Mus musculus: one gene and its partners. The protein of the gene in region 1 purifies or fractionates together with the protein of each later gene. This does not show direct contact. Links are inferred from orthologs where the notes say so. Each region holds a gene or a part of one and is shown on either strand. Other genes may lie near its edges. The genes, in order: Sf3b1, Prpf40a, Ybx1, Ncbp1, Zfp326, Snrpa1 and Srsf5.

Region 1 (4,257 bases):
GTGTTTCAGAACAGCTGAAACTACATGAAGAGATTGTCTAAAAAAAAAAAAAAAAGTTCTAGGCCAGACTGATAAACAGAGCAAATTCCAGGACAGAGCTACAGAGAGAAACTCTGTCTCAAAACAAACAAACGTAGCAACAACACAACAACAAAAAAAGACTAAGACAATAAAGATTTATACTGAGGGACCTTATACCAAATTGTGACATACTTCTATAATATTTTTTATTAATTCAATAATAAAATAATCCTAAATAAAATAGCAATTTTTACAAAAAAAAAATCGAAACTCAGCACTCGGAAGGCAGAGGCAGGCGGATTTTCTGAGCTCGAGGCCAGCCTGGTCTACAAAGTGAGTTCCAGGACAGCCAGGGCTACACAGAGAAACCCTGTCTCGAAAACCAAAAAAAAAAAAAAAAAAAAAGCAATTGCAATTTTTGAAAACAAGTTTAGCTGGGCTTCTACAATGAAAAAGGAAAGGAAAGGAGGAGGGAGGGGGAAGGGAAGGGAAGGGAAGGGGAAAGGAAAGAGGAAAGGACCCTAAACTTTACATTTACCAGGGCCAGAAAGATGGCTCTGCAGCTGAGAGCAGTGGCTGCTCTTCCAGAAGACCTAGGTTCAGTTCCCAGCACCCATGTGGCATCTTACAACTGTCCTTTAATCCAATTCCAGGGAATCTGACACCTTCAGACAGACGTTACATGCAGGCAAAAATATTAATGCACATAAAATAAACTTTGCATTTATCCAACTGGGAGTATGCTACATTGAAGATATCAATAAGCCAACAATCAAAGCTACAAAATATCCATAAATCTCCATAAATCAATAACCTATTAGGGTATGGGACTCTACCTATGCAGCTATAAGGAAGCCAGTAAGGAGTAAACCATGCTTTCCTTCAGTAAGCACTTCCCCTCCCCCATGCTCTGGAAGTCCAATAATTTCACTGGTTCCCCACAATGGAAAACAATTAAAATAAATAACCTACCACTGACTGAACAAAACAGCGACACGATTCAATTTCCTAATTATTTTACAAACAATATCTGAAGTAGTCTAAAGATAAATAATGAGGCCAAAAACATTTCTGGCTTTAAAAAGTGTTGGGCTAGGGGCTGGACTGCTCTTCCAGAGGTCCTCAGTTCAATTCAATTACAGATGGCTCACAACCATCTGTAATAGGATCTGACGCCCTCTTCTGGTGTGTCTGAAGACAGTGACAGAGTGTATTCACATAAATCTTTTTTTTTAAAAAAAGTGTTGGGCTAACCAGGCACAGGCCTTTTACCCAGCACTTGGGAAGCAGAGGCAGGAGGATGAGTTTCTTTGAAGTGGGACCCAGTCTCCTCTATTCAGGAAGTTTCAGGGCAACCGGAATTACATAGTAAGACTATCTCAAAAAAGAAAACAAAAACATGTGTTGTACTTTCATGTTTAAAGACAAAAGACTAGTTAATGCAGGGACATTTCTGGCTTTCAAAAGTGTTAGTATTTTCAGTTCCTCAAATGTCCCAGCTATTGGTCCTAAACCATCTCTTTAGATTCGCATCGGAATTCCCTCCTTACACCCTCCTCTATCCTACCACAGCGACACTCACTGCATGGTACAAGATGTTCCCTCCGGCTCAGACATCCTCCCCTAATTTAAAACTGATTGATCCTTTTTTATCAGCGCCGCGTCACCACCTCCCAAAAATAACTAAGCATAAATTAATGGCTCCGTTACCCAGCTTCTCAGAAAGTACTGGCTTTACTTCTCTGTACACATTCCTTTGATTTTCTAAGAGAATATTCACACATCTGCTTCCACATCAAACTGTCAAATTTCTGACATCCTTAGCTTGTTACCTCTCTCTAACACCGAGACACACACTTAGAAAGGACGGGTTTAGTGACTTAGTGTCAGCGTAAATTTTGGCTTCTTAACCGGGAGCCAAGAAACAGGGATTCTGTCTCTCAGACTCAAATTCCTTCCCGTCTTCTCTGGTTACTTTCCTTATGGAATCTGGTTGCTTCTCAACATGTTTCTAGCTCTGTTTACTCTTGTGCAGCATAAAATAAGCGACTACCCAGAAAACTTTGGCAACTGGTCAAATCTGCCTTTCCTTCTCTCTTCCTCCTGATTCTCCAACACCTAGCTCTCAAAGGGAAAAAGATAGAACACCAGGACACAAGTGATTAAAGGAGTAAACTACCAGATTTTCTGCCGGAATCATTTAGTGCAAGCACCACAACACGATCCAGCCGCCTTGGAGATGCCTGTATCGCGAAGGCTGGGATTGGCAGGCCTGCGCTGAAGCGGCCTCCGTTAGGAGCGGCCCGAAAGCGGCTGCCGTCATTCAGGGCTTTCCAGGTACGAACTGCCGACGATAGCGCCCGGGGGGCGAGAAAGTCGGCCTCCCACGTCCGCCTCCCCGCTCCCTCCCCGGGAGTCCCCCGGGGCAAGCCGCTCGAGCGAGGCTCTCCGGTCAGAACAAGAGAACTCGGAAGCACCAACAGCCAGCGCGGAACAAAGCGCCGGTCCCGGAGTGCGAGAGGACGCCATTACGCGGGCAGCGGCCTGCGCCGACGAGCCGAGCAGGCCTCGCCGCGCGGCCTCGGTCGAGACCAGAGATGCCACGCGAAGACGCAGAAAGCCAGGAGAGAGGGCCGCGGCTGGCTGGCTGCCGAGGTCGCGCGTGGGAAGGGAAAGGCCGCTTACCTTCGTGAGTCTTGGCGATCTTCGCCATTTTGTCCACTCGAACACACAGACGGAACTGGCGCTCCCAAGGACTTCCGCTCGCCGCCGCCAGAAACAGAGGCCGCTCTCTGAGCGTGCGCACCCGGGAGCGCGCGCCGCACTGTAGCACGTACTTCAACTGCCACCTATATGAGACTGCGAGGGGCATTATGGGAGTGGGCGGGGCCAGGGCGGGCTCCCGGCGGCTTCCTTAAAAAGCCAGCGAAACCGCGGGGAAGACTAAACGCGGAAGAGGATGGCTACTTCCCAAGAGGGCTGTAGCCTGTCCGGCCAGTGGTGGGTAACGTGCCGTTAATTCAAGCACTCGGAAGAGAAGAGGCAGTTCGAGGCCAGCCTGGTCTACAAAGAGAGTTCCCGAAGCCAGGGCTGTACAGACAAAGCCTGTCTTTAATAAAACCAAAGGAGCCTGGCAGTGGTGGCGCACCCCTTTAATCCCAGCACTTGGGAGGCAGCGGCAGGCAGATTCTGAGTTCGAGGCCAGCCTGGTCTACAGAGTGAGTTCCAGAACAGCCAAGGCTACACAGAGAAACCCTGTCTCGAAAAAAACAAAAATAAAAAGTAGAGAGAGAGAGAGATTAAATTACACAAAATAGAATTTAGCCAAAGGAACACTGCCTCCAAGACACCCAAAAAATAAACAGTATGCTAGCCAGGCCTGTTAGAAATAAAGTTTATGATGCCTAAGATGTTAATGTTGGTTCACCAGTATTGACCAGCCATTAGATACGGTAGAATACTTCTCTTAACAGGCAGCTCAAGGGAATAGTATAGGGTCACAAGCAATGTTAAGTCCTGATCTACAATAAAGCCCAGTTCTTTTCTTGAGAGAAACATAATTCTGCCAAATGGGTAAGATGACCCCAGGTAACAACTATTTGAAAAAGTACAACACTGGTGCACTTAAAATAATTCTGGCAATAACTGATGCCTAAATGACCAGGCAAATAGGAGTGACCTATTGACCAGATTTTCAGCCTTCTGTCTCTGTTTAAGTTGTACTAAATGTAACCCAGGGTTGGGACCTAAATTACAAATTTGAGGATAACCTCATATTTGGAGAAAATAAGCCTAAGGTGTCTCTAAGTTATCAAAATGTATTCAAGGCTGGCCCTACCGAGCATTAGCCAGAGCCAGCTGTGCCAGACCTTTTTCCTTTATTATCCTCCAAATGTGCAGGATGCTTTCTCACTGGGAAGGCTTATCATTTCTATAACAGATTCAAAGGAGCATTTGCTGCATTTGTGGTAATTGTAGAAGCTAAATACTTCCTGGAGTTCCAGAGTAATGATAAACATCACTAAAAGATCACCCAGAATTGTCTTGTGAATCCTCTTTTATAAAAATAAGATTTTTTCATGCTGGGCGTGGTGGCGCACGCCTTTAATCCCAGCACTCAGGAGGCAGAGGCAGGCGGATTTCTGAGTTCAAGGCCAGCCTGTTCTACAAAGTGAGTTCCACAGGGCTACACAGAGAAACCCTGTCTCAAAAAACAAAAACAAAACAAAAAAGATT
Region 2 (4,205 bases), on another chromosome or scaffold:
GTCTCGAGGGAACGCTTTGGGAGGAGAGTGTGAATGGGGGCGTGTGATGTACTGGCTGCACTTTACGCTGGACAGCCTTTCAAGGCCTGGGCTTCAATACCTTTAACGATCATGTAGGCGATGGCGAGAAGGAAAGCAAGGAGGACGGCGAACAGCAGCGAACAGAGAATGGAAAGGGCTTGGATGGGCCACCGCCGAGCCTGGGTTCGCTTGGCCGCAGTGGCCGGGAAGATGCCGTTGCGCTTATCCGGCAGGACCGGAGACCCGTCCCCGACCCGGGGGAGTAGCGGGGCCCTCTTGGTCTCCGACGACGCCCTGGCTGAGAACTCTGCCCGCAAGTCGCGGGCCACTTGGTCGCATCCCTCGTCTTCGTCGCCTTCGCCCTCACCCCAGCTGTCCCCCTGAGTGTAGTCGGAATACCCGGGCCGAGTCGCAGGGCCTGGGGTAACCTGACGGCGCCTCCGCGCGCCCGCAAACCTCCAACTCTCCACGAACGACATGGCGGGAAAGACTGAGAGTCCCGCGAAGGTCGGCTGTCCACCACCGCCACGCCCCGCCCCGGCTACAGCCAATCAGAGACGGCCGTCGGCGGACCCAACCACCGCGCGCAGAACCGTAGGGGAGTGCAAGAGCGGGTTACCCGGGGACTCCGCTTCCGGAGGCGCCGTGGGAGCGCGCGCCCATGGCCCGCCGCGACAACACTCTCATTTATTCCACCCTTTCGGGTCCTGTGGGCACGCACCTCTCGAGCCCCATGACCGCAGTTCCGCGCCTTCCTAACCGCCAGTCGCTTCCTCCCTCGGGCGAGAGATCTCTGTCTTTACCGCTCCCCGCCAGATACAGTTCGCGCCTCCGCCCTTCACTATGCCGGGCGCGCGCGCAGCTCTCGAGTTTCTCCCCCCCACCCCCAAAGGCACGACCCCCTCCCCAGGGCAACCGCGCGCGCGCGCACTAGGCCGCTAACGCCGGGTGCCGCTTCCCCCGCCCCACCCCCACCCCACCCCTGGTGGCCTCAGGTTTGTGGGGCGAACGTAACTAGGGCGAGGGGCTGGACGCCACTGCCCCACCCCCCGACGGGGTGCGGTGGCCCGAACCCGGGAATCTGGGTCCCCGCCGTGTCCCCTTTCCTGGGGGAAGTTGGTAGAGTTTCCCCGGCAGAGCACTCGACGCAGAAACTTCCTCCGTCCCCCCTCCCCCCCCCTCCATGCAGGCGACGCCGAGCGAGGCAGGGGGCGAATCGCCGCAGAGCTGCCTGTCGGTCTCGCGCTCTGATTGGACAGTAGGGAAGCCTGTCAGTTTATTGGCCCCGCTGATCCCGCCCCGCAGCTCAGGGCAGCCTTTACCCTTTGGCCCCGGCGGGCGCCAGCCACTCAGATCGCTTCTTGTTGGTATGTGCAGCGGCAGTGGCCGCCGACGGAGCAGTCTGAGCCCGACGATGAGGCCGGGGACTGGAGCCGAGCGTGGAGGCCTCATGGTGAGTGAAATGGAGAGCCAACCTCCCTCGCGGGGTCCCGGGGACGGGGAGCGGAGATTGTCCGGCTCAAACCTGTGCTCCAGTTCTTGGGTCTCTGCTGACGGCTTCCTGAGGAGACGGCCCTCGGTAAGGGATCGGCGGGGTAGGGGAAAGCGGCACAATGAAAAACCGAGTCAGAGAAACAGGAAGCTCTCTCCAAACGGAGAAGAGCATATCAGGAAGAGAGCTGCAGATGGTGGGCTACGTCCCAAGGGGGAGAGATGGAGGGCGGGAACACACAAAGAAATAGGTGGGACCTTGGACTTGCCAGTGGTCTTGGCCTAGGTAGATAGATGCCTTAGGAAGAAGGAAGGTGCTGGGCCCCGGGCGGACTGTGCATCTGAGAGCCCCAGGCTTGACTTACAGTAGGGACACTTAAGTCTGTGGGACTTAAGGAGCGGCTGCTGCGGTCTTATTTCTCCGGGAGTGGTGGTGATTTGCAGGGCTTGGGGGATTCGGTTGGGAGAATTGGCTGCGGATACTTAGTTTCAAGCCAGGAACAATGGAAGTATTATATTTTAAGCTCCCTAAAACGGCATGAATTTGTTAGTGTCTGGGACAGTTTAACTCTATTAAAACATTTGTGAAGTACTCTTGGGTACCCGCACTCTGTTTTAGGTCTTGTCCATATGAATGTAATTTTAAGTAGTATAAGCTGGTTATGTGTATAAAGGTGACGGAAGTTGTGTTCATCGTAATAATTTTTTAAGTTGGAATTCAATACATAGTCACCAAGTCTGACCAGTCATTTAACAGTTTGTTAAGTCATTGGAGAGGGGTTGTAATCCGCTAATGGGTTTAACTTTTCCATTATTTTGTAAATTTTCAGGCCCCATCTAATAATCACTGTAGTGTAATTAAGATTAACTTCAGTATATGCTAATACTGTAATTTAATCACAGTGATTTAATATTGTGCCTTAATTGATGGGTTTTAGTTGTTGTTTTTGAAATGACATTTTAAAGAAGCATTTAACTGTCTCTCACTCTCCCTTTTTATTATTTTTCAGATGGGGCATCCTGGCATGCATTATGCACCAATGGGCATGCACCCTATGGGTCAGAGAGCAAACATGCCTCCTGTACCTCATGGAATGATGCCACAGATGATGCCCCCTATGGGAGGGCCTCCAATGGGACAAGTAAGAAGACGCTTTCCCTTTGGCTTGCTTAGTTTTGTTTGAGTGTGTCGAGATGTATTTAAGATGTAAGTCAGTGGTGTACTTGCAGCCCTTTAAAGGTTAGTTTATATCCACGTAATGTCTTCAAACAAGACAAAACATTACATTGCTCATGTCTGTAACCAAATTTTGAATGTAGTAAGACTGTATGAGAAAAAATTAACTGACTTCCTCAACAAAATTAAGCTTTAAAAAAAATAAGCCGGCTGTGGTGGCGCACGCCTTTGATCCCAGCACTTGGGAGGCAGTGGCAGTTAGATCTCTGAGTTCAAGGCCAGCCTGGATCTATAGACTGAGTTCCAAGACAGAGAAACCCTATCTGGAAAACCAAGCAAATAATTTAAAGTGAGAGTATACATCTAATCTATTTAACTTAGTGACTTTATTTCAGGCATTATAATTATTAATGGTCTAGGAGTAAATATATATCAGAAGATAATCGTGGTGAATGTGTAAAGCCTAGCATCAGAAAAATAGTAGTTACTTGGGGTTTTCATGTAGAATGAATTTTATTCTTGGAGTATCTTCCTCTTGTTTGGGGTGCGGAGGGATTTTCTGCTCTATTACTAATTCTTTCCTGGACAGTGCCAAATAGGTAGCTCATTTTCTACTTAATTTTTGAATGATAATTGCTTCTATACTCCTACTTGTGCGTTGCCCCTTGAATCTCTAGCACAAATCGTAAATGGACGTTTTTTCGTAGGAGTGATTGGATTAAAAGGTTTTAAGATGACTCAGGAACACGGGTAGAATTTCTAGAGAAGTGGTCAAGAAAGACAAGAGCTTGAGGTGCATCAACAGTTCTGTCCTATGCTAGGTTCTATATAATACACTGATTCTTAGGTGGGCTGGGTTATTCCAGTTGAATATCTTGATAAGTCATGAAATTTTTGATTAGCAGAATATTTTAGAAAGCCAGTTGTATATTTTCTTTTGCTAATGAGTACTATTGAGTTTGACGATGGTTTGAGCAATGAAGGCTAAAGTTACTGGTGAAATTACAGGGGGAAACAGGAACTTGTGTTTTTTTGTTTGTTTGCTTTTTTTATTTTAAAGAGTAGAATGGCTCAGTGTTAAGTGGTTTTCTTTTATATTTGGAATATAGCCCTTAATTTTGGATAAGAAAATTGTATTCAAAGGCACCAAACTGAAAAGATTCTGCCTGCAGGAGTTCCTTATAGAAAAGATTCTTTTGCTCTGTTACTCTCGAATAATAATACTTTAAAACTCCCTAGGATATGCAGAGACAACTCTTGATTCTTTTTCTGTATCTTTCCATCTCTAAGCAGCACAAAACCCTTCTTGTTTTCTTGGTAGAGCTGCTCTAACTAGATAATGAGCTTTAAAAAATATTTATTCTCTAATGCTCTGGTTCTTATTTAAAATTAGTTTCTTTCCACAGAAAGATAAAATAAAACAATTTGCTACTGCCAGACGCTTCTCTCTTTTCTGGGGCCTTCTGTGTCCATTGGGCCAGGCAAGGTAAGTTTGCAAGGGGTTGGCCTGCTTACC
Region 3 (3,562 bases), on another chromosome or scaffold:
TAAAGGCGTGCGCCACCACACCCGGCCCCCAACATTAGGTTTTAACCAACACTGTCTGTTATCGGTAAACTCACACCTGTGAATCTTACCCAGGAATTCTTTCACTATGCTCTTGACAGCAGAGTATTTACAGCAGTCACCATGACTGGTATGAGCTAACACTAACATGTCTCTGTGTGTTTATGTTAATAGGGCTGCTGAAGTCTTTCATCAATTCCTATTAGTTTCTACTACAAAGAATTGGCCTAAAAAGTTGATGGACTTGGCGGACAACTAGCAGCCATTAGTCCCCACTCAGCAGCAGTTCTTTAGTGCGATGCCAGTGCGCTCGCCCTGGAGCTTCTCTAGAGGGAAACACCCCAGACTAGCCCGGCCCCACAAAGCTTCTCTACCCCACTCACGTGGCTACAGCTGATGCCTCACAGCACTCCTGACAGACTGCTTACTGCTGGTGTTACCTGTTATTCTAAAAGTGGGAGAGAGTACTCAATTATGACAAAACTAGACATTATTATTTAAGACCTTTATTAACAGGTGCTTGCAGTTTGTTGACTTTTTTGAAAAAATCAAGTTGTAAACTTTATTACAAATTAAAAATGAAGTTCTTAAAAATCTCAACTTGACCAGATATGAAACAATTTAAAAACCGTTAAAGGTGTATTGAGAAAAACCAGGCCTTTTTTTTTTTTTTCTTAAAAAACACGTTTGTCATTACCAAAAAGAGACATCTTTAGGTAAAAATAATAAAAACCCCATGCTGCATAGATAATGCAGATAGTTCTAATGTTATCTGGTCAGAGGGCAAAAAGCAAGCACTTAAGGTCTTCAGCTCCAATCTTTGTTCATTTCTTATTGCTGGAATTTCATATTCATTTCTTCTTGTTGGATGACCAAACTGCAAAGAAAAGACTCTTAATTACCATCCCGAAGTCTAGCTCGTGGACCACACTCTAGAATTGGCACTCTAGCAGCCACATTTCACCCACTGTTTGGCTTTAGCTTAAAGGATGATTTACAAGAAGAGAAGTGGACACTAATTGAAAAATATGGCAACCCCAGAACCAGAGCAGGTAAACAGTCTTACTCGCTAGTAAAGTCAAATTAAGCTAAACTAGGCATGACAGACCTCAGATTTCCTGGTTGGCTTCAAATTCAGAAATCTGCCTGCCTTCTGTGTGGGTGCTGAGATTAAAGGTGGGCACTGCCAAACCTGGCAAGGTTACTTTTCAAACCTTCAAATTCACAACACTGTCTTCAGAGCACAGGAAGTAAGACTTTGCTTAGCTTTCTGCCAAAATTATCATTGATTCAGAATGTAGGCAGCTCATAATCAAAAAAGTACATTTGTCTAATTTGTGCTAGAGTGCACAACACTATAATAAAATGTCTTATCTTAATCTATTACTGCCAGTTTCTTTGCACCGTAGCTCAGTGCAGTGGAAGCCAAGGGTGCCTACTTACCCGGATGATGGTAGAGATGGTAAGCCGGCATTTACTCAGCCCCGCCCTGCTCAGCCTCGGGAGCGGACGAATTCTCAGCTGGTGGATCGGCTGCTTTTGTCTCTTTGCCATCTTGTGGTTTAGGGTTCTCTGGGCGTCTGCGTCGGTAATTGAAGTTTCGGCGATACCGACGTTGAGGTGGCTGCTGACCTTGGGTCTCATCTCCTTGATTTTCTTTGTCCTCTTCATTGCCATCCTCTCTAGGCTGTCTTTGGCGAGGAGGGCCCCTGAAATGAATGCTACATAATCTCAGAAAACAGTAACAGCTTTTTTCCTTCCTTTAGCCTTACCACAAGTAATATTTGGTACCTGGGTGCACCAACCATTTATTCAAGTGGTCTTTCAGACAAGCTTACTTAGCAAAAAATCTAAGTTACTCTCAAAAGCCAAGTGTATAAGTAGATTCTCATTCATTCATATTAACCAAGATCAATAAAGCTGAATCAGCTGCTCAAATGCTTGGAAACAGAACCATGCTGGTTCCCTCTGCCTGGACTTTTCTTGCCAGTAACTATTCTTCTATGTACTATGTACTTTTAAACCTCTCATTTCCATTTAACACACACTGAAATCCTTGACCTAATTTTTTACCGATACCAGTACCCTTTCCATCAAAAGGAGCTATACTTCCCACGGGTCTTAATATTTCCTATTTGTTCATGAACAAAAAAATTAGTATTTTCTCACCATGTACTTATACATGAGTAGCACCATGTTTCATTTACTACTGTTAACACTTAAACTGACAAGCAATCAACTGAGAAGTGACCAATTTGTGGCATGGTTAGAAAATCCTTTACTTTGTGCAAACTTTAAAGCTTGCACAATGTGTTACCTACCATAAAACTAATTCAAGGGCCGGAGAAATGGCTCCATAGTTAAGAACACTTGTTTCCAGAGGACCAATGTTTGATTCCTAGCACCCACATGGTGGCTCACAATCAACCCTAACTCCAGTTTCTGGGGAACCCACAAGCTCTCTGACTTCCATGGGCACCAGACACATGCAGGCAAGCGTTCATACATATATAGAACAAACAAAAATCAAAGCAGAAAGGATCAATACCTATCTTTATAAAAGGCAGACATACAACTAAAAACACCAAAAAATATTTGCCCAAGATATCAGTATACACAACTACCTGTTCGTTCTTAACATCAGTACCAAGGGATTTGATGCCTCTGACTAAGGCACACATACATGCAAACAAAACATGCAAATAAAATAAATCTAAGAAATATATAACCAACTATAATGAACCATCAAAAGGTCCCTAATAATCTTAAAAACACGGGACATTACGCAGAGGCAGGCGATCTGGATCTGAGTTTTGAGGCCAATCTTGCCTGCACAGAGTTTCAGAACAGTCAGGGCTACATAAAAGCTTGATCTCAAAACAAATGAGTAACACACAGGGCAGTAAGCATGAGGGCGCACACCTTTTAATGCCAGCCCCGAAGAGGCAGAGGCAAGCAATTTCTATGAGTTCTGGGCCAGTCAGAATTACCAGGTGAGACACTGCCTCAAAAATGAAATCAGGGCTGGTGAGATGGCTCAGTGGGTAAGAGCACCCGACTGCTCTTCCGAAGGTCAGGAGTTCAAATCCCAGCAACCACATGGTGGCTCACAACCATCCGTAACAAGATCTGACTCCCTCTTCTGGAGTGTCTGAGGACAGCTACAGTGTACTTTACATGTAATAAAGAAATAAAGAAATAAATCTTAAAAAAAAAAAAAAAAAAAAAAAAGAAATCAAACCAACACAGAGCACTGGTCACACTGGGTGCCAGGGTAAAGGCCTTTGATTCTAGCTACTCAAGAGGCCAGGCAGGAAGGCTGGTCGTTTGAAGCTGGCAGCTCAAGCAACTTAAATATTCTCATTCTCCCTTCTTTCTCAAAAAAACCACACACACACACACACACACAAAAGATTAAAAGATCACAAATGTTGACATACACACAAACACACCACACACACCTAATTGGGGGTGGGAGGGTCAAAATCAGGAGGGTACTTGGACAAGTGGACAGAGGATTCAATCCCAAATTCTGGGTGGGGTG
Region 4 (4,149 bases), on another chromosome or scaffold:
ATTGTACTGTTTCCTATGCCCTTGTTAGAATCAGACTGTAATTCAGATCAACAAAGTAGACAAAAAACACCACCATAAAAGAAAAAAGTAACTTTGACTCTACAAACTTAAAACTAGAATTTAAAATGGTAGAAGAATATCACTTCTGAAACAAAGTATATTGTCCCTATGTATAACAAACTTTTCATACAGTTAAGTGTAAAAACATCAGCCACAATAAAATATAAAGACCTAAGTGGAAGTAGAATAGGCTATCTGGACTTTTGACTAAGATTCAATCTAAATTCCTTCTTTTTTTTTTTTTTTTTTTTGGGTTTTCGAGACAGGGCTTCTCTGTGTAGTCCTGGCTGTCCTGGAACTCATTTTGTAGACCAGGCTGGCCTCAAATTCAGAAATCCGCCTGCCTCTGCCTCCCAAGTGCTGGGATTAAAGGCGTGCGCCACCACGCCGGGCCTAAATTCCTTCTTAACAATAAGACAATATACTTCACACTGATAAAATGTATATCCAACATTACTGAAGAAGTTCAGAGATACTGTTAAGGAATCTAAGCCTGCCAAGTATGGTATTCCCCTTGGGGTAAGGCAGGGCAGTCAGTGGGATCTATCTAGCCAGGACATAGGAACAGGCGTTCCAGCCTGAATTGCATAGTTCTAGACAGCCAGGACTACATACATAGACAGCCACATAAAGACCCTGTCTCAAAAACAAACAAACAAAAGAGTCTAAGACTGAGTTAGATTTGATACTTTCCATTTACCATAGCCCTTTCTGTGACTCTAAATAAACTACGGGAACTTTATTGATTAGCAACCTTGTAGTATCTCTGTGAATCCCCAATCATATAGTCCTAACAGAAATGTTCAAGTGGCCCAGTGAGGTAAGAGGCTCATCTAAACTCCCCGGTCTCACAACTTCTACCCTCACTTTCTCTCTTCTACCAACAATGACCTCCTTGCTGTCTGTTCTCTAACACGACAGAAATGTTCTAACCTTAACTCACGGTTTCCTTTGGACCTCTGCTTCCTCCAAGCATCCACACGGCTCATCCTCACATCACTGAAGCCATAGGCCATCTGCAAGGAGGCCTTACCTAACCAGCTTCTCTCTCACTTTGGTCTCTACACCCTTTACCTCACATTATTCTCCACAACCCCGTGACCTTATAACGAATTGCACTATACCGCTGTGGGGTTTGTCTTAACCCAGGGGAGGGAGCCTCCACTGTTCTACTGCCTCCTACTCCACTGCAAGCACAGAAGCTAGGAAACTGTTTAGCAAGTCGGCACTCCTGATGTATTAGGACATTCTCTCAGGTACTACTGGCAGAAACCTGGGGCTCCACTATATGGGATTCGCTTGGTTGTCTTAACATTCCAAGGGAGGAAGCTAACCCAATTAAACTTGGGGGAGGGAGGGCTTTTTTTCTCAACGATGTCAGCATTTATCTGTGTGTATCACCTCTGAGACATTAGCAGTTGACAAAATAAACATCATCATGAACTACTGGTGAGCACAATATCTCATTTAGCCCCCCGTAGAAACCAAATGGCTTAGTATTATCCACAGTCCACGCTTAGGTTTAAGAAGTCATATGACCCTGACAAGATCACATAGTAAATAATCGAGATGTCGAGCTTCGAACCTAAACCCTTCGGTTCTAAAGTTTTTTCTTGCCTTAACCCTTTGGACCTAACACTAACAGCTCCAAGTGTGTTCTTGAAAGGCAATAATGGTGCAACAAAACAAAATTTATGGCAACACAACGACGTCCTTGCCGGCGACCATCAAAACTGACATGAGAATTAATAATCTGCTCGGGTTTTCCTGCACTTTCTTATAAGGGAAATATGCTTAAAGCCAATCCAACAAAACACCCCGTGCCTGTTTATTAGTGACCTCTGGGGTGTTGGTATTCTTTTTTTGAAGCCTAAAAGAGGGGAATCAGCGGGTGGCAGGTGGAGGAGAAGGGCTCAGATTGCAATACATCCGACCTCTGTCATAGCTTTGTTCTTTTCCTGTCTTCCCAGGGTCCTTTCCAAGTACACCCTGGAGGGCTAAAAGGAAAACACTGGTCCACTAGATATATCTCCTCCACTAAGTGATCCTAAGAGGCAGCAGCAGACAGACACACGTGCGGTTTCCATGATCAGTAGTGAGGGATTAAGTCCTCAGTGTCGCGGGACCCCAGGTCGGATTTGCTCACGGGATTCACCAGGCCTTCCTTTCCCATGACTGAAGGAGATGGGGTAGCAGGGAGGCCGTCGCTTTCCCGAAGCCACTATCCACAACCGAGCCAGCAGCCTCCCTTTGGGGCTCCCCGAGCCCTCCCGGGGAGAAAGGATTCCTATCCGTTCCCGGGAGACTGAAGGCGAGCCCGGCCTCGGTTCTCACCCGGACGCAGTGGCCAGGCCGAGAGCACTTACCATCGTTCTCGTAGCTGTGCCGCCTCCGCGACATGCTGCTTGCTGGTGCGCAGCCGATCTGAGTTGCTAGCCGCCTGCAACCCCAGAACCGTCGGGCTGCCGGCCGGCCGGTGCGCGGTCAGCGGCGAGGCGCGCGGACTGAGCGGCGCGCAGGCGCACTCGCTTACGACGCCTGCCGGAAGCGCGTGCAGAGGGGCACCGGATGGGCTCCGCAGTGGAAGGCCGGCGTCTGCAAGTCCAATTGCGGCCGCCTCCTCCGGCTTTCCACCCCGGGCCCTTCTGGACAGCGAGCTAAATTATCCGGGCCGCAGCGATCCCGCCTCGGCTTTATACAGGCCCGGCGGGATTTTCCCGGCGGCCCCTGCGCCGACGACTTAGGAGACTTCCGGAGAAAGGTGACGGCTCAGGGACTCTCTGCGCACGCGCGCGCCGGGGGGCGTGGGCTCGAGGGCGGGGAGCAGCGCCAAGTTGGTGAAGGGAGACCCAGGAAAGGCCTAGGGTTTGCGGGTAGGTGTTCTCTCTTTCTCTCTCGCCATCCCGCTGTAGACGCCTCGGGAGACCTGAGCGGGGAGGAGGGCAAGCCACTTTCAGCGGTAGGGAATCCAGGCCCGTCCGGCTGAATCTGCTCACTGTAGTCCTACTGCCTACTTCTCCCAGCTGACGGACGCCCCAGCTACTGATCGGTGTGGTTCCAATTGTTCTATTCCTCTGCACGTGTACAGTATGTGGACGTCCTCTGCCCTGTGATGGACACCAAACTGTCTTGTCCATGGTCTAGCCCAAACTTTTCCTTCAGTCTTACCTGTTACAGTAAATGGCCGTTTCGGTAGTTTGCTTAAATCCAAGAATTTAGGGAGGAGTCATTAGCTCCTTCACTTCCTGTGTTACAGTTTATCCACTAACACTGCCTGCTATACTCTGAGAGCAAGTCTAGTCAAACTTATTTACTATGCTTAAAACTCTTCACAGACTTAAAGCAATATTTTATGTATTTGTAAGTCTGTACATCATCCTGGAACTGGAGTTTCAGACTCTCTGTGAGCAAGGAGGAGAGTGCGCGGGAGCGGGGTGGGGGTGCTGAATCCCGGGTCTTCTGCTAGAGCAGTAAGCACTCTTAACCAGTGAGCCATCTTGCCATCTTTCCGGCTCTACTTCTCTTTGTTTATTTTAAAGATTATCGTTTTTCTATTCTTTTCATTTATTTATTCGTACATGCAAGCAATCCATCTTTCCAGGAATTTCCACTGCGAATTCCAAACTATGGCTTCTTGGGTTCTGTTCCCGTCATTGTGTGTAAACCACCATGTTCTTCTGCTAAAGTCCAGCTTGTTCACATTTTAGGAATCAAGACTTATTTTCTTTATCTGTTGGTCTCTGCTCTGAAATTTACATGACTAACTGTCAGGGACCTACAGAGTTATTTCTCTGACTCCTCAACTCTTGCTTTATTTCATTCAGCAAGTACTATATTGTATTAATTAACATTTGTCACCGTCTGTACATGGGACAACGAGACGGTGTTCAGGATACTGAAGCCCTAAGTGACCCTCTCAGGAATGATCACAGGTACTGTAGTCTGACGGACTTAATAGCAAAGGGCGAGTGGTACAAATTATCACTCATCCTTTGCTATTGAGGACAGATTATCCAGAGTAAGACTTTGGAAGAGTCCTCCAAGAAAGGATTTTAATATATTCTCATCTGGCTCCAGTTGCCTGAAATG
Region 5 (4,292 bases), on another chromosome or scaffold:
TGTTAACAAGTATCCAAGGCTCTTTATGTTTTCCTTTGATGGTCAGAGAAAAATGGCCTCAAAAACAAAGCCAACACATTTTACAACAAAAGTTGCATAGAACCAAGATAAAAATCTACTTAAATCTATGTAACTGAACATCAATGTCTTGTCAACAAAAGTAATTCAGCCAGTTTCGTGAAAATCAATCACTGAGAAAGTGGTAACAGATAAATAAAAGAATTCTAAGTAAAATAAAACAGATACAAAGTCCAAGTAATCTAACTTCTTGTTCTGACCCCAAGTTCAAATATTATACACAGAACTGGAGATATCACTGTGGCAGAATAATTGGATGGAATTTATGAGATTTCTAGAAAGTCTACATGTACACTTTCTCACACACACACACACACACACACACCATAAAAACAAACACGATATATAGTATGACATTAACACTGAGATTTATAAATCAAGAGTGAGAAGAATATCTGAAACAAAGTGGGCAGGCTTCCTGCATTAATACCTGTGTTTCTATAGATATGAAGAGAATACCAAACTATATCCCCTCAACAAAATTAAAAGGAAATGCAAGAGGACACTCACCGTTAAAGTCCTGGTAAGCACCCCTGCAAGTAGAGTGCACGTAATCTACGAAGACACATAAACAACAAGGAGTTAGTGTGATGTGAGCAAAAGCCCAGACTCTCATCTACTCAGGCATTAAATTAATTACCAAAAAAACTGGGATGCAAATAATTACAAGCATCCACTTGAGGAAGCACATCACCCTTTCACTGCCTAATGGCAATGTAAAAACTATTTAATGTCCATATTTGTAACTGCCAAAAGAGGAGACCCAGTATTAATTTAACTTACACAAAGCAAAGGTAAAACGATTTTTCAAAAACGGTGATGGATGTGAAACTTGGTCTTGTGGAATACAAATGTTTCAAGGTCAGTATTTGTTTTACCACTTCATCTGTTCTCTCTAAATACTTTAGAAGCCTGTCTAAAAAACACATATGCATATATGTATGAGCGTGGGCTGTATCCATCCAGGCATAATGTTAAAGCCTTTATTTAACTCTACAAATAAAGACTGGAAGAACGGAATTGAATATGGAGCTTCTAGATATAACTGAACCCTGGCACATGACAGGATCAGAGTCAGATACACTCAAATCTACAGCCCAACTGCAGCATTGGTGGCTACGGATGGGCTGTTAAGAGATTATTTATCTCTAACATTGTTCATTATTTTTATCATAAGTATAATGAAAGCAAATACTCCAAATCTGACCGCTATTTTTCAATCCTCTACAGAAAATGGATTTCCTTACTGACTGACTCCTCCCACTCTGCACACACTACAAGGTTAACTTCTGGCACACCACATAGGTTGGTAGTGTCATCAAACTTTGGTCTAAAACATACTTTTTCTCTTCAATGTCAACTCTGACTAGTGCACATAGTAGTAATTTAGAGTCACCTATATCAGAATGAGTCACTGTCCAACCCCGAAGCACAAGCAGGACGGTATGCTATCCTGAAGAGCTGAACTATATTTCAAAGCAACCGAAAAGTACTCCGAAAAGGGTGATTCTTTTTCCTATATTTACACTTGACAGCCTCAACCTCTTGTAGCAAATCAAAAATCAAAAGCTCATGCAATACGACCTACGCCAAAAAAGCACACCTCATTCAATGTCAAAGCCCATTTCTGGTGGAGGCAGAGGCTTCCTTCACAAGAAATGAACCGGTTTTATTTAGAAATACCTAGTTCCTCGAGATTACACCCAGTTTAATCCTACAAACTGTTCCTCGGCTCCCTAACACTATCACTACTGTTGATCACTTTATCTTGACACTGATTCCTATAAAAGTTGAGCAAGGTTTGAAGATACCAAATTAACTGTACTTCACGGCCAGGGAAAGCTGAAAAGCAACGTTACAATTCGGTTTATTTAACCAGCAAGTCCAACACGGGCTGCTGTGCACCGATCTAGCTGAACGTGAAGGGCATCTGGGGCTTGCTGTGCCAGAATTCTAACTTAGGTAGCATTCATACACAAGCCCCACCACTACCACCCCTAAAAACAAAAATAATAATGATAATGCACTGGGTCACGGAGCTGTTTCAGACGCGGTATTCACTAGCAGGTAACCTGGGTGAGATATTAGACAGCTCGGTCGGCTACGTGGTAATAACTTGCAGATTCTGGTTCTGGGGGAACCGAAGCCCATCTCGATGGAACGCCTAGAGACGCCCTTTATACTCCTCTCACACGGAGAAGCATCGCACGAGCCCGAGGCAGCCTGTGTCGAGCAAGATTCCAGAGCCCGGGGCGACACGGTGAGGACCGGCTCCACCCGCCACCGGGTCGCTGCCCCGAGGGCCCCGTGGGCCCCGTGGGCCCGGTCGCCGCTCGGCGAGGCCAGGAAGTTGCAGGCGGCCGCGGACGAGGCCCCGAGGCTCGCAGCTAGGCCGACCCCCTAGACAGCAGGGCCCCGGGCCGGCCGCACCCCCACGTGGGGCTCCCGGACCACAGGGCTCCGGGCCGGGCCCGCGGTCGCTGCGCGGCCCACAGAACAAAGCCACACGGCCATCTTGAGGCGGTAAACAGACCCCCGGCGCAGGCCGCCCGCCGCCCTCCCTCCCGCCCGCCCGCCACGGCGGCCCGCCCCGCGCGCCGCTCACCGTCCTCGAAGTCCATGCTCGACGCCGCGGGGCTGACGGTCTCCGCGCTGCGCTCGCTGTGGCCCGCGGCAAGAGCCCGCGATACGGCAGTGTCCACACGACCGGCCCGCGCGACCGACAGCGGCGCTACTAGCCGGGAAGCCGCAGGCCACAGCGAGGCTGGGGGCGGGGTCGGGCGGGCCTGCCAGTCGTCGCAGCACCGCCTCCGATTGGCCGACGCGGGGTGGTGGGCGGGTCTCGCGAGGGGGGCGGGAAGCGAGGCAGTTGTCAGGCTCCTGGGTCCTGACCCTGGGGATCGCGGGGGACGGAAGGTGAAACGGGAGTGCGGAAGGCTGGAGAGGGATGTTCTGGAAGGACTCCGGTTGGCCGGCCATGTTGGAGCCTGGCAAGAGCAACCGGGTCCAGGAGGGAGTGCCTTTCTCTTGCAGAAACTCATTAAATGACATGGCGACCTTTGGCTACTGTTGGCTGAAGGAGTGAGGAGGAGAGATTTTTTTCACTACTTATGGAGTTCCTTCCTCTGACACACAGAAGTGTGGGGCGTGCACAGGAACCCTGATTGCCAAATAGGACAGGATCATAAGACTATCCCAAGACAGGCTGCTAGCCACTGCTGGGTTGAAGGTAGTAAAGCAACTGTGAAAGTTCACAGATGGGAAAGATTTGGCAGGAAGAAAGTAGTCCACCGTTCAGCTCGAAGGGGAGAGGGAGGGAGGGGGAGGAAGAGATTATTCCACTTTTAAAATTGTGTTGGAGCAGATGCAAAGGTATTCACTCAGGAACACTATGGGAAGACTCTTGTGGACTTGAACCACAGTTTTAAATAATTTTCTCTCTGTCCTCACAGAGCAAATGGCATTAACAACAAATTGGTTACCTAGATAGGAAGCCAGACATCAATTCTTTGCACTCAATTTGCTAGACTCAGTTCGGAGGAAGCCGGAAATAAAACTGGAAGCACAGGGAGGTATACCACAGTAGCCCCAAATCTGGGCACGGCTTTGTGTCCTCCTGCTCATCTCTTCCTCCTCCACCCTCCCTGACTCATCCTGTTCTCCACCCTTTCCCAATTCCTTCTCTTCTCCCCTCCCACACATGTTTTCTGTTCACCTGGGCTGAAAGCTGAACTCACAATTTCCCTTCTCAGACCTGCTTATCCTCGTGTATTCTCTTGGCTGTTCACGGGGCGGTGAGCAAACCGCCCACTAATCCCAGCCAGAAGGCTGACTCGGTCCAGTCCACTCGAGACTAGCTCACCGCTCTTTCAGCCTCCTACTTCCAATCCACACACTTTTGTATCTGCTTACCCCACCTAAGATATCTTAGGTCGGCCCCACCCTTTCCATTTTCGTGGCCACTACCTGAGTTAGGATACTCACTGTCTCCCTGCAAAACTCTTGCTTATACAGGGCTGGAGAGATGCCTCAGTGGTTAAGATCACTGACTGCTCTTCTACAGAGGTCTTGAGTTCAATTCCCAACAACCACAAAGAGATTCACAGCCATCTGTAATGGGGTCCGATGCCAACTGGTCATGTCATTCCCACATTAAGGCTCTGAGTAGATCTGTCCAATGCTGCCTAACATAGAACACAAACAAAAGGTAGAGA
Region 6 (4,011 bases), on another chromosome or scaffold:
AAAGCTTTGCCATCAGGGTGGTGGTAGTGCACGCCTTTGATCCTAGCACTCAGAAGGCAAAGGGAGGCAGATCTCTGAGTTTGAGGCCAGCCTGGTCTACAGAGTGAGTTCCAGGACAGCCAGGGCTCACAGAGAAACCCCACTCATACAAACAAATATGATCTTAATTTCACAGAATTATATTGTAGAAACCAACTACAAAAACCAAAACCAGCATAGTGGATGAGGTATAGGTACTCAGTGAAAAGTAACTTTATTTCATAAAAAGATTTTTACTGTGACAGGGTCTCACTATGTAGCCCTGGCTGGAATTTGCTGTCAACAAGGCTGTCCTTGAACTCAGAGATCAGCCTGCCTCAGACTCCAGAGTGTTAGGATTAAAGGCAGATACCACTACACATGGCCTTTATAAATCTTTTTAATTATGATGCTATTGATGACTACTCTAAAATCTGATTTGTTGACATAGCACAATGCTTCAAATTCAAAGTTTAATGTCAGTTACGAATATTAAAGATTTCTGAAGAGTAGCAAGTAAGGTCAGGCCAATGCCCAAGTTAATCTCCAACCTCTTAGGAAAAGGGCTCTATTCATTTCTCCCTTTAAGACACATGGGCAGGCTGGAGTGGTGGCTCAGCAACTTAGAGCCCTGGCTGATCTTCCAGAGGACCCAGATTCTATTCCTACAGCTGGAGCAGCTCAGGACTATCTGTAAACCTAGCTCCAGAGAAGCCAAGGCCCTCCTCTGGCCTCCAGAGGCACTAGGAGGGTGTGTGGTACCTGCAAGCAAAAAACTAATATACATTAAAACAAAACAAAACAACAACCAAAACCCCATTATCTTCAGGGTACATTAGAACACTTACTTAAGGGAAGAAAGTATTCTCACTAGCAGTCACTCACCAAATTCTGTTGTTGTTCACTAATAATGTTTTCAGTCTTCTCAACAAAGGGAAACCGTCCAGTTTCCGGATCTCATTGTCAGAAAAATCAATAGCATCAAACTGGTCTAAGGTGGCACCCAGATTCTCAATAACCGGAATTTTATATCCTGTAGAGGGAAAACATACATACAACAAATATTAATATAAATGAAAAGTCCTGAAAATCGCAGGAGTATGTGATGGAATTTGACTCAGCGCTCCCATTCGGGAAGTATTAACCAGGCACTAGCACCATGCCGTGCACTGAACAAAAATAAGGTAAATGACGAAAGGGTTAAGTGGAGGCCTTAGTGCTACAAAGCTTGAAGTAAAACTGAAGAGGCTGAAGGCAAGAGGAAGAACAGATGGGCATATTTACTAGTATTGGTGCCCATGGTTTATTAAGAACGTCTATGAGGTATTCACATTCGTCACTGAGCTAGGTACTATAAGGAAGGACACAACCCAGCTGTGAAGGAGTGCAATAAAAGATATGGTAGCAGAATAAGCATTCTCCAGACTGCACGGTTTTCAGAGAGACAGCAGACATCAAAACTGTGCCAAGACAGTGAAAGGACCCAGATGCTCCTGAACCGGACTTTTCTCCAAGAAAGTTAATTTCATTCAACAAACACAAAGAACACTAGGATTTCCCATAGGCAGGAAGAAACTTTCAAAAATGGCAGTGCACAGCGCCCCCGAGACTTTGATTGCCTCTGGTCACAGTCTTATAATCTTAACCCCTTCCAAAGCCATCTCCTGAATAGTTAACGATTACCTCTCAGTTCTATGTTTTAAAAATCAAGTGCTACTTCTGTCAGAACTGAACAGGTGAGTTCCGCCACCCCACACACAGAAGTGACCATTATGCCACGGTCAAACAGCTCAATCTTGAAAACACCAAATTATCCGGGGCTGCGGGTCTGGCTCAGTAGCGCGAGTGCTTTCCTGACAGACATGAAACCCTGGGCTCATCCAAAGCACCATATAAACGTGGTGCAGGCATTTAAACCCAGCTCCCAGGAAGTGGAGGCAAGAGGGTCCGAAGTTCGAGATAAACCTTAACTATATAACGGTTTGAAGTCAGCTCGGAATACACGAGACGTTGTCTCAAAAACAAATGAACAAAACCAAACCGGAATTATTGGGGCAATTAAGGTAACTCTGGTACATATCCACCCTACCCTCAGGTGCCACATTAACGCTTTTGCTAAAAAACAAACAAACAAACAAACAAACAAACAAACAAAAAACACCAGCCAGCAGCCGGCCTGTCCGTAGCGTTTTCTATTTTCCTAGTCCTCCAACAGTTAAAGCTGCTCGATGAGCGGGGCAATGCCTAGTGAGTACGGTCCGGGGAAGGAATCGAGGCGCCGTGTTTGCTAGCCGGAACGCCGGTAACAAACAGCCCCAAAGGGCCCTGCGGGACGGTGGATCGGAGGCGCCCAGCCCGGGTGGAGGCCCACGGGCCAGGCTCCAGCCTCTGCGCACGCGGCGGGGCTGGTTTCCCGCAGCCACGCGCCGGGGCCGGAACACAGCCCGCGCTCCGTCTAACTCACCCCGGAGGTCCAGTTCACGGTCCCGTACGGCATTTGTGTACTGCGCCGCCTGCTCGATCAGCTCCGCCGTCAGCTTCACCATCCTGTCGCAGCCCGCGGACCCTCACCTCCGACACCAGCCTGCGCCTCCCGCCAGTGCCGTGTCCCACAGTGCACCGCGCCTCGCCGCCAGACAGCACCAATCGTATCCCCGCGCAGCTCGACCGCCAGGCTAAAGCAATCGAAGACGTAGCCCCCGTGTCTTTGCTTCTGGGTTCTGGGCTTGAGCGTGCCTGGGAGTGTGGGGAGCCCAGATTCCAGTTTTTTTAATCCAAAAGATAAGAACACGCGAGGGATGCTCTGTCTCACGTCAGTGAACCTCAAGGGAGGGGTAGTTGGGACTACTCTCCCTTCTCCACCCAACAAGGGGCGGAGACTGTGAAGTCTCCTGAAAGTCAAGTTCCTAAATGTCTAACTTGGGCTTCCGCAGGTAAGGGGCAGGACCCGTAGGCTGGATTGCCTTAAAACAGAACCCTTCTGACCTGGTACAGTCACCTTAAAGCTTGAGGGTGAACTTGTAGCCTGTAGACATTTAGGTGTTCATACCAAAGCGCTGGTCAGGTGGCTTAGAGGTTAAGAGCACTTGCAACTTTTGTAACGGACTTGAGTTGGCATTCCAATATCCGTCTGGACACCTGACAACTGCTTGTAACTTCAGCCTCAGGGGATTTGCCGTCCATTTCTAGCCTCCTCAGACACCGGCAACCGCAAACACACACACACACACACAAATAAAATAAACCATAAGTGATATTCATATTGACTAGCTGTGATGGAGAATGCCTTTAATCCTAGCAGTTTGGAGACAGAAGGAGGTGGATCTCGGAGATAGAGGCCATCCTCGCCTACAGAGCCAGTTCCAGAACAACCAGGGATACACAGAGAAACTCTATCTCAAGCAAACAAACAACACCAAAAAAATTCATACGAAGTGCAGGGGAATACACATATCAGAAATTGCCATGTGATGAGTGCCCCACAGTGAATACAATATACCTGCAGAGCCTTGGCCTCTGTCTCCAAAGGCTTAAATGCACAAAATCATGTGCATATTTTTTTAAATCATAGCTTACTAATTAATGTACATGCCCACCTGTGTATACGTGATGACCCCTTCAGCCCTAGGCCATCAACTCCAACTGAGGCTGCACCTTCACTAGTGACCATCCCTGGCCTCTCACAGTGCCAAGCCTTAAATGCACGAAATCATATGCGTATTTTTTTTAAATCATAGCTTACTAATTAATGTACATGCCCACCTGTGTATAGGTGCAGGGGAGGCTTCAGCCTAAAATTCCCTGGAGCTGGCCGTTGTGATCCTTTGGACATGTGTGCTAGAAGTCAACCCCTGGTCCTCAGCATGAGCAGAAAACACTCTTAAAAATACTTTTAGAAATTATTTGTTATATCTCTGTGGTTTTGGGCACATGAGTGCAGATACCCACAAAGGCCAGAGGTGCCAGATACTCTGAAGTCGGGGTTACACGTGG
Region 7 (4,200 bases), on another chromosome or scaffold:
TCTCAAAATCTAGATGATGCCTTAGGTTACAGATAAAAATATTAAAGAGAAGTAGCCTTTTTCACAACAACAACAGTCTTTATTGTCAATGTTTCTAGACCTCCCAACCTCACTGGGGAAGGCTGGATAGAGTTACCGATGTGGACTGCTGTGTATTACATCCATGCTGGAAGCATAAACTCTATTTCTCAATAACTGTTGATTTCGACTCTTTTTTTTTTTTTTTTTTTTTTTTGGTTCTTTGACTCAGGGTTTTCCTGGCTGTCTTGGACTTTGTAGATAAGGTAGGCCTGGAACTCACAGAGATGATTAAAGGCTGAAGCTACCACCGTCCACCTAACTATTGAGATTGAGACCTGGACAGAAAGGAATGGACAATGGCCAGTTGGATTTAGAAACAACTTGAAATCTTTCCCAGCTAGCTGAGCCAAGATTGGCCCTAGGGATTCAATATATAGGAGCGTTTTTTGTTTTTTTTTTTTTTACCCACAGTACCAATTTCATTATTTCACCACGTGAAATCTCTCCTTTAGTAGAAAACAATTCAGTTCCTTAGGCTGATCAGAACAAAAACCACAACACTGAAAGAATTCACTTACTTGAGCCTCAGAGAACCCTCTCTCTCTCTCTTTTTTCCGAGGCAGGATTTCTCTGTGTAGACCAGGCTGTCCTGGAACTCACTCTGTAGACCAGGCTGGCCTTGAACTCAGAAATCCTCCTGCCTCTGCCTCCCAAGTGCTAGGATTAAAGGCGTGTGCCACCACGCCCGGCTAAGAACCCTCTCTTGAAGGACATTGATAAGTACAATTTGCAGAAGAGGCTAAAGAGAGAAAGAAAGAAAGAAAGAAAGAAAGAAAGAAAGAAAGGAAGGAAGGAAGGAAGGAAGGAAGAAAGAAAGAAAGAAAGAAAGAAAGAAAGAAAGAAAGAAAGAAAGAAAGAAAGAAAGAAAGAAAGAAAGAATTGGACCTGGTGCTCGGGCCAATAATCCTATCACACTGAAGGCGGACCGGCTGGATCGCTGAGCTCAAGGCTAGCCAGGACTGCTTAGCGAGACCGACTATGTAAATGAATTTTTAAAAGAAACAGGTGATTTTTGAAAAGCCTGGGTTTCTTGGTAATCTTCGAGGGACCTAAGAAAAAGTTTAAATACATCTTTTCGTATCCAAAGAAGTGTCCCGGTGTATCCTGCCAACTGAACGAACGTTTCTAGTCCTCCCACCACCCACTGCTCTCGCCAGGGGTCGCGGTAAGGAAGCCCCGCCCTACTAGAACTTCCGGCTCCCAGGAACCGTCTGTCCTCAGCTCCAAGTGGGCGGTCCCCGAGCTTCTGGCACCGCCCCGGAAGTGACGCCAGGACGTCCCTTCCATTTTGTGCAACGTCCGAGCTGCTAAGTGCGTCAGTTGTGGAGAGACTGTAGACGAGTTGGGTTCGTGTGTATGTGTGTTGTGTGTGTGTTTGTGTAGGGAGGCAGACAGCTCCGTCGCAGACTACGGACCTCTCCGGGGTCTCAGCCGCCAAAGACCCTGTCCGGTAGGTGAGTGGCACGCTTTGAGGGCAAGGCTTCTCGGATCGAGGCTTCTTCATGGCCGCTCGGGTCGCAAGTGGCCGGGGCTTCGCTCTTTGCGGAGGACGGCGACTCAGAGAGCGCAGTTGATTTGAGGTGGGCGCTGGGGCACGTCTCCCTGTGGGTGTTGCGTGAGGGGGACACGAGGCGGAAGGGCGGGCGTGGGGAGGGCGTTTGTGTCGGGAAGCAGCGCGCCCCTCCCTGCCGCCCTTAATGGCTCTCATCGAGGCCCGGACGCCGGGGAGCCGGCCTGGCCCAGGGCAGCTTAGGGTTTCCCCCCGTGGGCCGGCGCAGGCGCAGCGCTCTGGGCCCCGGGCTTGCCCGTGTCTCGGGGGCACGCAGCTCGGCTCGCTACGCTCCTCCCCCCCCCACACCCCGCCGCATACTTCGGCCGTCGCCATTTTGTGCTGCGAACGCGCCCCGTCGCCCACTGCGCAGGCTCGGTGGTGGCGTCGCGAGATTCCGGCTTGTGACGCGCGGGGAGGCCGCGACGCGGGCGCGGCCGGCTGCTATTGGACCAGGCCTGGCAGAGGGCGGGCTCGGCTCCGCCCGCATTTCTCGGCCTGGCCTTAACTGCGGCAGATGGGAGGGGAACCCCGGGATCCGGGGACAGCGTGTGCGGCTGCGCAGTCTAGAAAGGTGGCTACTGGCGTTGTGGTGGGCTGCCGTGTGGAACCTGGGAAGGGGGTCTTTTGGAGAGTTAAGTTTTAACTTGGAATTTGAATGTGGTGGTCGTGAACGACTTAAAAGGTACATGGCGACCTTGTTAGTAGAGTTGGTAAACGTGGGGTGTGTTTGACTGCTTGACTGAACATCCCCCACCCCCATGGTGTCAATCGTTGATATTGTCTCGATTCAATTACTGCCTAACAGGAAACACTAGCCGGGCATCATGAGTGGCTGTCGAGTGTTCATTGGGAGACTAAATCCAGCAGCGAGGGAGAAAGATGTGGAAAGATTCTTCAAGGGTTACGGACGGATCCGAGATATTGACTTGAAAAGAGGTTTTGGTTTTGTGGTAAGTACTTGAAACTGAGTTGAATTATCTGTCGAGAAGTTAGGTAACTTTGTGGTGGTGACACATGCCTTTGGTCTCTGGCCCTTGGGAGGCAGGGGCAAGCCAATCCACAGAGAAACCCTGTCTCCAAAAAAAGAAAAAAAAAAAAAACAAAGTGGGTAGAGCTCTTGTGATGAGCATGGACTCTGAGTCCATGTGAATTGTTTTCCCAGAAAGATGTTAGAAGTGGCCAAGAAGCAGTGGCTTCTGTTAAGAAGTTAAAGTAACTGCTGGCTGGAGTTGATTCTCAGTCATCCCTAGCTTAGGGTTATAGTATCTGAGTGTAAGGTATATCTTAACACTTCCATGATTTTTTTTTTAAATTTATTTTTTATTTTTTTGGTTTTTCGAGACAGGGCTTCTCTGTATAGCTCTGGCTGTCCTGGAACTCACTTTGTAGACCAGGCTGGCCTCGAACTCAGGAATCTGTCTGCCTCCCGAGTGCTGGGATTAAATTAAAGGCGTGCGCCACCACGCTCGGCTTCCATGATCTTAATGTGCTGTAGAATGCATGCACGTCCAAAAGCTCTACTCTTACTGCTACATTTTAGGAATTTGAGGACCCAAGGGATGCAGATGATGCTGTTTATGAACTTGATGGGAAGGAACTTTGCAGTGAAAGGTAAGCATGATTGGTTTATAAGTAGTTCTCCCAGGGAAGTAGAGCAGAGTAGACATTTGCATATGTAAGTGCTCTCATGTGTAGTGTGTGAATGCTTTTTTTACCTCTTTGTAGGGTGACGATTGAACATGCCCGGGCTCGGTCTCGAGGTGGAAGAGGTAGAGGACGATACTCCGACCGTTTTAGCAGTCGCAGACCTCGAAATGATAGACGGTATGTGGTTTGGGTTTGGCTGTTACGGTTGGGTTAGGGTCCGTTAGCATTAAATGGTTCTCAGACTAGTTAAGTCTAGTTAGTCCACATGCTGAGAACCCAGAAACTTGATGGAATCACTATCTTGGCTTAAACTTGTCACATAGCATTTGACATTGTGACATAACATCTGACACTGAATGCTTATTTTTCTTTCTTCAGAAATGCTCCACCTGTAAGAACAGAAAATCGACTTATAGTTGAGAATTTATCCTCAAGAGTCAGCTGGCAGGTTTGTTGAAATACAGTTTTGAGATATTTTTTAATGTGGCATTTAAAAGTGTTAATGGGTAGTTAATGTTTTATTAATATATATCTTATTAAATGCTTTATCTTAAATTAATTTAATTGAACTATAATTTTAAACTTTAGTTAAATGTAACTGGGGGATGTTTCAGATTTTAATATTAGTGATCAAATGTAAATGTTTTGAGGTTATTTTTTCATGTTTTTTAAAATCAATTTTAACCAAATATTAAACCCTTTATTTGCCAGCCTATCTGTGTCGTTGGCCTTATGACGAGGAGTGCCTGTGGGTTATCCTAATCGTTGTCTTGGTCACTCTTGGTTGGGCCTGGTTGACTTTGCCAGTCAGCTCCTACAGTGATCAGTTGGCCACCTCTAGATCTGTGTTTGCCGGTCTAGACGTAATCGGTGCACTTACTTGAAGTGCCGGGTTGCAGCGATCCCAGAACCGTTGATAA

The links.
Region 2: the proteins of Sf3b1 (region 1) and Prpf40a purify together in Homo sapiens (co-immunoprecipitation; 3 studies listed by BioGRID and IntAct, with this or other methods). This does not show direct contact. The link is inferred for Mus musculus from reciprocal best matches to the Homo sapiens genes SF3B1 and PRPF40A.
Region 3: the proteins of Sf3b1 (region 1) and Ybx1 purify together in Homo sapiens (co-immunoprecipitation; 3 studies listed by BioGRID and IntAct, with this or other methods). This does not show direct contact. The link is inferred for Mus musculus from reciprocal best matches to the Homo sapiens genes SF3B1 and YBX1.
Region 4: the proteins of Sf3b1 (region 1) and Ncbp1 purify together in Homo sapiens (co-immunoprecipitation; 3 studies listed by BioGRID and IntAct, with this or other methods). This does not show direct contact. The link is inferred for Mus musculus from reciprocal best matches to the Homo sapiens genes SF3B1 and NCBP1.
Region 5: the proteins of Sf3b1 (region 1) and Zfp326 purify together in Homo sapiens (co-immunoprecipitation; 3 studies listed by BioGRID and IntAct, with this or other methods). This does not show direct contact. The link is inferred for Mus musculus from reciprocal best matches to the Homo sapiens genes SF3B1 and ZNF326.
Region 6: the proteins of Sf3b1 (region 1) and Snrpa1 purify together in Homo sapiens (affinity purification with mass spectrometry; 8 studies listed by BioGRID and IntAct, counting the BioPlex papers as one, with this or other methods). This does not show direct contact. The link is inferred for Mus musculus from reciprocal best matches to the Homo sapiens genes SF3B1 and SNRPA1.
Region 7: the proteins of Sf3b1 (region 1) and Srsf5 purify together in Homo sapiens (co-immunoprecipitation; 3 studies listed by BioGRID and IntAct, with this or other methods). This does not show direct contact. The link is inferred for Mus musculus from reciprocal best matches to the Homo sapiens genes SF3B1 and SRSF5.

The regions. Positions count from the first base shown.
Region 1 is NC_000067.6:55,024,633-55,028,889, forward strand, and holds the start of Sf3b1 (splicing factor 3B subunit 1), read right to left. Parts: upstream 2,847-4,257; 5' UTR 2,735-2,846; coding exon 2,707-2,734; intron 1-2,706. UniProt on the Homo sapiens protein: Component of the 17S U2 SnRNP complex of the spliceosome, a large ribonucleoprotein complex that removes introns from transcribed pre-mRNAs.
Region 2 is NC_000068.7:53,188,418-53,192,622, reverse strand, and holds the start of Prpf40a (pre-mRNA-processing factor 40 homolog A), read left to right. Parts: upstream 1-1,390; coding exon 1,391-1,600; intron 1,601-2,522; coding exon 2,523-2,654; intron 2,655-4,095; exon of another isoform or gene 4,096-4,175; intron 4,176-4,205. Other genes in the region: Arl6ip6 (ADP-ribosylation factor-like protein 6-interacting protein 6), read right to left, coding at 101-500.
Region 3 is NC_000070.6:119,277,473-119,281,034, forward strand, and holds part of Ybx1 (Y-box-binding protein 1), read right to left. Parts: intron 1,740-3,562; coding exon of another isoform or gene 1,728-1,739; coding exon 1,493-1,727; 3' UTR 1,462-1,492; intron 896-1,461; 3' UTR 1-895. UniProt on the Homo sapiens protein: DNA- and RNA-binding protein involved in various processes, such as translational repression, RNA stabilization, mRNA splicing, DNA repair and transcription regulation.
Region 4 is NC_000070.6:46,137,164-46,141,312, reverse strand, and holds the start of Ncbp1 (nuclear cap-binding protein subunit 1), read right to left. Parts: upstream 2,803-4,149; 5' UTR 2,461-2,802; coding exon 2,427-2,460; intron 1-2,426. UniProt on the Homo sapiens protein: Component of the cap-binding complex (CBC), which binds cotranscriptionally to the 5'-cap of pre-mRNAs and is involved in various processes such as pre-mRNA splicing, translation regulation, nonsense-mediated mRNA decay, RNA-mediated gene silencing (RNAi) by microRNAs (miRNAs) and mRNA export.
Region 5 is NC_000071.6:105,875,090-105,879,381, reverse strand, and holds the start of Zfp326 (DBIRD complex subunit ZNF326), read right to left. Parts: upstream 2,815-4,292; 5' UTR 2,700-2,814; coding exon 2,684-2,699; intron 2,609-2,683; exon of another isoform or gene 2,151-2,608; intron 995-2,150; exon of another isoform or gene 862-994; intron 634-861; coding exon 589-633; intron 1-588. UniProt on the Homo sapiens protein: Core component of the DBIRD complex, a multiprotein complex that acts at the interface between core mRNP particles and RNA polymerase II (RNAPII) and integrates transcript elongation with the regulation of alternative splicing: the DBIRD complex affects local transcript elongation rates and alternative splicing of a large set of exons embedded in (A + T)-rich DNA regions.
Region 6 is NC_000073.6:66,059,164-66,063,174, reverse strand, and holds the start of Snrpa1 (U2 small nuclear ribonucleoprotein A'), read right to left. Parts: upstream 2,840-4,011; 5' UTR 2,565-2,839; coding exon 2,483-2,564; intron 1,052-2,482; coding exon 904-1,051; intron 1-903. UniProt on the Homo sapiens protein: Involved in pre-mRNA splicing as component of the spliceosome. Associated with sn-RNP U2, where it contributes to the binding of stem loop IV of U2 snRNA.
Region 7 is NC_000078.6:80,944,138-80,948,337, forward strand, and holds the start of Srsf5 (serine/arginine-rich splicing factor 5), read left to right. Parts: upstream 1-1,361; 5' UTR 1,362-1,535; exon of another isoform or gene 1,536-1,661; intron 1,662-2,438; 5' UTR 2,439-2,457; coding exon 2,458-2,583; intron 2,584-3,173; coding exon 3,174-3,244; intron 3,245-3,358; coding exon 3,359-3,457; intron 3,458-3,658; coding exon 3,659-3,728; intron 3,729-4,200. UniProt on the Homo sapiens protein: Plays a role in constitutive splicing and can modulate the selection of alternative splice sites.